2 linked regions of the Nothobranchius furzeri genome follow. The protein of the gene in region 1 purifies or fractionates together with the protein of each later gene. This does not show direct contact. Links are inferred from orthologs where the notes say so. Each region holds a gene or a part of one and is shown on either strand. Other genes may lie near its edges. The genes, in order: ftsj1 and wdr6.

What was found.
Region 2: the proteins of ftsj1 (region 1) and wdr6 purify together in Homo sapiens (affinity purification with mass spectrometry; 3 studies listed by BioGRID and IntAct, with this or other methods). This does not show direct contact. The link is inferred for Nothobranchius furzeri from reciprocal best matches to the Homo sapiens genes FTSJ1 and WDR6.

The regions. Positions count from the first base shown.
Region 1 is NC_091754.1:42,118,081-42,121,317, forward strand, and holds part of ftsj1 (tRNA (cytidine(32)/guanosine(34)-2'-O)-methyltransferase), read left to right. Parts: intron 1-1,422; coding exon 1,423-1,501; intron 1,502-1,576; coding exon 1,577-1,629; intron 1,630-1,757; coding exon 1,758-1,811; intron 1,812-1,956; coding exon 1,957-2,059; intron 2,060-2,197; coding exon 2,198-2,281; intron 2,282-2,406; coding exon 2,407-2,510; intron 2,511-3,237. UniProt on the Homo sapiens protein: Methylates the 2'-O-ribose of nucleotides at positions 32 and 34 of the tRNA anticodon loop of substrate tRNAs. Requisite for faithful cytoplasmic translation.
Region 2 is NC_091755.1:33,771,489-33,775,018, forward strand, and holds the end of wdr6 (tRNA (34-2'-O)-methyltransferase regulator WDR6), read right to left. Parts: intron 3,297-3,530; coding exon 3,180-3,296; intron 3,061-3,179; coding exon 2,244-3,060; 3' UTR 655-2,243; downstream 1-654. UniProt on the Homo sapiens protein: Together with methyltransferase FTSJ1, methylates the 2'-O-ribose of nucleotides at position 34 of the tRNA anticodon loop of substrate tRNAs. Required for the correct positioning of the substrate tRNA for methylation.

The sequences.
Region 1 (3,237 bases):
CCGCGATTACTGAACTTGGTTCAACTCAATGATGCATGTTGAGAAGGATGGCTGCACTGGTGTCAAAACGAAACGTTACTTCGCTCCTTTGGGAGCACTTTGGTTTTCAGTACGTCAGCTGCTGCGCAGCCAGAGTCCTTGGCCGGGACAGAGCTGCCACCAGCGGCAAAAAAATAATAATAAACGCTCGGAGACCTGCTGAAGTCCCGGACAAGCACTGCTTCTGCAACCGTCCCGAAGAGAGTTTGAGCCGAGCTGGAGCTCACTCGCTACCTGCAGGAGGAACGCATCCACCCTAAAGAAACCCCCCTGACATGGTGGAGCAACAACCGGGAGAGATTCCCTTTGCTCGCCAGAGTCGCACGCAGGTACGTGTGCGTTAGTGCAACGAGCGCACCATCCAAGAGGGTTTTCAGTGTTGCTGGAAATGTTGCCACCCCTCTCAGATCCTCTCTCAAACCGTATAAGGTTAACATGCTGGTTTTCCTTGTAGGTAACAAGGACGTGACCGAGCTATAAATCACCGTCATTCGTGTGTGTGTGAAAGTGAAATGATAGTGCGCCCCAACCCCCCGCCCCGCGCGCGCCCGGTACATGTAATTTTTTATGCTTGATTTTAAACAACTAAACAAAATGGGGACTTGTTTCTTATTTGTTAGATGCTGCAGCCAAATTTGCATTTAAAAGTTTGACCTCCTGAATTTTGTTGTTTTTAAGTTCAGTCGGACTCCGACTGTCGGACAAACAAACGTTACTGCGATCTGTGTTGTTACTGCCCTTTGATCTGCATTCAGTAAAGTGTTATAAAAGAAGGCACGGCAATTTTTAACCTTTTTTAAATGTGTAAACATTATGTTTAGATAGTGCTGCAATAAAAAAAGGGCTGCAATAATATCGCACACCGCAATATTAAGCCACCCTGAATCACCGCAGGAGGAATTCCTCAACCGCGACAGCCCTAGTTTCAGCTTTATTTACTGTTGTAGCGAGTAGCAGCTACGACGGGGTTACACACACCCGATCAGATCAGATCAGCCGTCACGCAGACGTGCTCGTCCCGCCGCACCGCCACAAATGTGTTTGAACATCAGATTCTTATCTTCTCAGGTTTTTGTCCCAAGTCTGAAGCTGAGCCCCAACGCAGACCAGTACTTCTCTGGGCTGCTTCCAGTCTAGACTGGAAGTTATGGGGAAACCGTTCAAATATCCCACGAGAATCCGTTTTGCAACATGGTTTCTGTTTGGTTACCGTGGGAGATGTTTTTAGTTCTGCTTTAGTTTTTCTGTTGCATGAAGGCCAGATCCGATTTTTACATAATAACTTGTAACCTAATAGAGAGACGACCCGATTACACCGGCGCTTCCTCGTCCTTGTAGCGGTGTTTGCTTTTGTCCTGTGACTCATGTCATGTTTCCTCTCAGGTGTCAACGGCTCAGGAGATCATACGCCACTTTGAGGGGCAGCCAGCAGACCTGGTGGTGTGTGATGGAGCTCCAGACGGTGAGCTCCACCGTGTCCCACCTCTTCTCTTTAGATTTTGGGGTCTGTCCTCATTGTCCTGTTTGCTGTTTGTAGTAACGGGGCTTCACGACGTGGACGAGTACATCCAAGCTCAGCTCCTGCTGGCCGTGAGTACTTTTGAGTCCAAACAAGTTCCTCCGTGGGGACGAAAAAAACATATTGTATGAGTGTTCAGGTGTTTGTGGTCACCTGTCAGGTGTTTAGTTACTCCTGGCTGACAGCTGCTTCTTCTCAGGCTCTAAACATCACCACCCATGTCCTGAAGCCTGGAGGGACGTTTGTAGCCAAGGTGAGACCAGCTTGCAGCTCTCAGTGTTCATTCCTCCGTTATCCAGGGAAACGATTTCACAAGTACACGAGCAACAGGAAATTAGACAGTAAGCCGTGCTTTTTTGTTGATTGGTCGTGTCTGCTGTCTGACTTGCATGGCTCAGATCTTCCGAGGTAAAGATGTGACGCTACTGTACTCTCAGCTGAAGATCTTCTTCAGCACAGTGACCTGTTCTAAGCCTCGTAGCAGCAGAAACTCCAGCATTGGTGAGACACACACACACACACACACACACACACACACACACACACACACACACACACACACACACACACACACACACACACACACACACACACACACACACCATGTATTTTCTACTCCATGTGTGTTTGTGTTTGCAGAGGCGTTTGTTGTTTGTCAGAATTACTGTCCCCCTGAGGGTTATGTCCCCAACATGTCCAACCCCCTGCTGGACCAGACTTATGGTAACTATAATGATTCTAACAGGCTGCAGTTGGCCTTCTCACTCGGATTTTCAGTTGGGTTGATACCTCAGCTATGAATGATCGGGTATTTTGTTCACACTGACTTCTGGCTGCTGTCCTTGTAGATGTTGACTTTAACCAGCTGGAGGGTCCAAACCGTGTTATTGTTCCGTTCTTGGCATGTGGTGATCTGAGCGCCTTCGACTCTGACAGAACCTACTCCCTGCAGGTGAGAAGACTCGCTGACAGAGACGACCCCTCTTACGTGATTAATCTTTGACCCCTCATTTAGTGCAAAAGCAGCCTCCAGAAGAAGATCCAGAGACGGTTTGTCCACAAATACACGAGAAAATGACTGAACTAGGGTTAGGTGGTTTGCATCATTTTCCCCACCGCTAGTCGTCAGTCCAATAAATGACATGGGGCGAGTAATTCATACATGTGAAGACCAACCACACATTTTCTTTTTTCATGGAGCACAAATGTCTGCTGGAAGAAAAATTGAGATTTTTCTTGTTTAACTTTGTATTTGTTGTTTGTTGAGTGACGTATAAACGGTTCGTATTAAACAAGGTTAAAGTGTTAAAAAAGAAGCCTCGTCTTTGTTCCCCTGTGGTGCTCACTACCGGTCCTGGTCAGACACGTGACTTGCATGTCAACCACACCCCTTCAGCACCATTTTAGGTGTATGACTCAAGCTTGGTTTATGCTTGACACATTCACTTTCCGCGCGGTGATGCGGCTCGCGGATGGAACGCGCTTCACAACTCGCAGCGTTTATGGTTCGTGCGGCTTGTCTCTGCGGTGAGCCAATATTCTCCCAAACTGTAGGGGGCAGCATGGAGCTCTACGGCAAGCATCCAACACTACACCATAGTAGAAGTAGAAATTACTGTTTACAACATGGCATTTCAGCATTTTTAACAGCGTCCTCGTCTTTTCCGACAGTGCGAGCT
Region 2 (3,530 bases), on another chromosome or scaffold:
AAAAACTGAGTCACTGGAAAACATCTTCCATTGCACCTTCCAAAACGGTCTGTTTAAACCCAGCAAGCACTTCTTACCTTCTCCGTATCCATCACCCTCATTTAATCAACACTTCTACCTCCTCTGTTTTCTGTCATCCCTTCTTCTCTTTATATCTGACAGCGAAGGGCACAAAGGACTCGGAGGAAACAAGATCCTGGGAGCTTTCATTAGTTTGGTCTTCAGGTTCCACCTCTTCAACAACCACTTGGCCCTGTTTCATCTGTCACTCATACGTTTCCCACCATCTCTTTTTGTTTCTTTCTCTAATTTCATTGCGGTTGCAGTTAGTGAGATGGGCACTTGACAAAAAGTAACATGAGATGAGTTAAATATTAAAATATTAATGGTTATCGGCAGCCCTCCACCCCCAGTAAACACACACACATCATGTTAGAGCAACATTGCTACGGTTCTTTTCACTTTGCCTCCAAGCAGTCAGACTTTTCTTGTAATCTTTTATACTTTTTGTACAGTAGTTCTGCAGACTTTCACTTTGCATTTGAACTTTGGGTGCTTTATCAGTCATTTTCTGCACAGCCCATGATCCTGGCAGAAAAGATTGGCGTGCTTTAAATGAGAAAAGTGGCGATTCTGGAAAAAAACATCCAAACAGAAAGGGGGCAGTGTTTATTTAGTCACACTTTTCTCCATTTTCATCTTTGCAAACAAAACAAAGAAGCACGTTTTTATAGAAATTGTAAATTCTTTGGCAGCAATAATATCAGATGTTGATACTGGCTAACCTTTTACTCTCGGTGCTGAACAGTTCCCAGATTCTAAGAGATGCTGAGGTCAGGTTTTGTGAAGGGTCACCTGAGCATACCTGCTCGGACACAACCAGATAACACCTCCGTGTGGAAGCTTTTCCTTTCTTTACTTCCAGAATGTGCTGAAGATCTTTAAAAAAGAAACCCCAACAGATTCTGACAAATCTACTTGTGTTAAAAAACAGCGGAATGTTGAAAAATATTCTTGATCATGTGTTGAAGTGGTATGTTTGAGCAATGAAAATCATTTCAGGATTTTCTGAATACCATCCATCCATCTATCGTCTGAACCCGTTTTGTCCACGTAGTGGCGCCTATCTCCAGCGGTCAACGGGCAATCAGGCGGGGTACACCCTGGACAGAGAGCCAGTCCATCGCAGGGCAACACAGACACACACAGGACAATCAAACACACACACACACACACCTAAAGACAATTAAGACAGGCCAATTAACCTAACAGTCATGCTTTTGGACTGTGGGAGGAAGCCGGAGTACCCGGAGAGAACCCACGCATGCACAGGGAGAACATGCAAACTCCATGCAGAAAGATCCCAGGCCGGGAAGCGAACCCAGGACCTTCTTGCTGCAAGGCAACAGCTCAACTCCACTGTGCAGCCATTTTCTGAATACCTTCAACCCAAATTCTTTTAATGATTTACAAATGGCAACTTGCTTTTTCTCCTCAGATGGAAACAGGTGCAAACTGTTTGAGCCCATAACACACACACACACACGCACGCACGCACGCACACACACACACGCACACACACACAAGTTAAACAGTTTCAAGCACAGACTCTGCATCTTTTAAGGAGCAAGATTTGGCTCCAGATTCCCAAAGTGGATATATGAATAGTTTTAAATGGCAAAAATGCAAATTAAACTTGAGTTAGAAGATGTTTTATATTCTTACAGAACAGCAATAAGAGTTTGAATCTTTGAGCACTAAATGCTTTCTGCAGGTGTTAACTGGTTTTAGAAAAAAATCATGTCTAATTTTTTTCCACGCTGCTGGAAATAAATGTTCCTTTCAGAAAATTAAACAGGTGATTAGTGGGATAAAAATAAGATTATTAACTTATTTTTTAGCCAGATGTTAGTATTAGGACTTTTGTGTGTGTTCAATTAAATTCAAGTTTATTTATATAGCGCCAAATCACGACAAGTCATCTCAAGGCTCTTCACATAATAAACATTCCAATTCAGGTCAGGTCATTAAGCCAATCAGAAATAATGTTTCCTATATAAGGAACCCAGCAAACTGCATAACGTCACTTATAGGTGTCACAAGGTGTTACAAGTATTATCCTCGTAAAAACGCATTCACAACTCATAAATAAATTAACTTCATTTAAAAACTATTTCATCCAATACACAAATGGATATATTCAAAAGGATTCCACGTAGTTTGGTTATTTCTGTAAAGTCACATTAACTGGATAGTTTCTCTTCGCACACCTCAGCCTCCATTACTGTAGTCTCGATTTTTAGAAGTTGGAAGCCCTGGCCACAAGCCAGAACCCATCCCACCCTCTGTCCCTTTTTGCAGCTCTCACAGGAAGACTTTGAACCAGTTTTCCCGCCGGCGTCATTCCCCGTTTGATCACCGCTAGTCTCAAAGCATTTTCCATCGCTGTTTTCCCAAACTGGGTCAGGTTTCTCCTCACATTTTCCTTCCTCCTCTTCCCACACTGCCAGGTCTGCAGTATCAGCAACATGGGAGCACAGCGCCCCACGGTGGGTGATGCTGGTACCGCTGACCCTCCACAGACAGACCCTCTGATCTGAGGAGGTAGAAACCAGACATCCAGGGCTGAGGAGCTTCAGGGCAGTGAGAGGGGCAGCGTGGGCCAGCGGGACGTGGGACTGAGAGTGCAGGTGAACCCGAATCTGATTAGGAGACCAAACCTTTGTCTGTGGGAACATGTCAGCATTAGAAATCTGTAAAGATCCTCTGTTACCACTAGTCTTCCAATCTTCTGGGTATTGCACCCTAATCATAGACACTGTCAGCTGCCCATCATCTCCTCCACTTGCAACAGTTACTAGGCAACCGCCCTCTTGTCGTCCCCGCTTCTCTACCCAAACAACCAATGAGTTGATGCCGCTCTGGTGGGCGGGAATGTCGAGGCAGGGGATTGGTGGGGTTGGAGCACCACTTGAATTATCAATGGATAAGAAATGAGCTTCAGTCAAATGCCACACAGCGATTTTCCCATCTGTAGCAGCGCTGAACAGCAGTTTACACCTGGGAGAGACAACAGTAATGATTGCTATTCAGGAAGAACTGCTAAAATAATCAAAAAAGAGCTAAATTCAAATAAACAAATGACCACATTTTAGTTGCATTCATTCTAAGAGGCTCACCTGTTGCCCTTTTCATCTTCCAGGCTGCAGGTAGCGACACTGAGCACACAGCGCTGGTGGTGAAACGTCTCCCACAACAAGTCAATTTGGTTTTTACCTTCGCAGACTGCAAACAACCTGGGAAAACAGCAAAAAACGACATGTGTAGGTAAATAACAGAAACACGTTGATAATTTCAGCTGCATAAAAACAAGAGTACTACATAATCTACCTTTAGGTCATTCATCCCCGCTTCTGTAAGAGTGTAAAACTCCTCAGTTTAACTGGTACTGGCATTATCCTGGTACACAATAACCTAAATGCAATACTCCGTTCATGTTCAATACTTGTGCAATACCAGATTTACATATT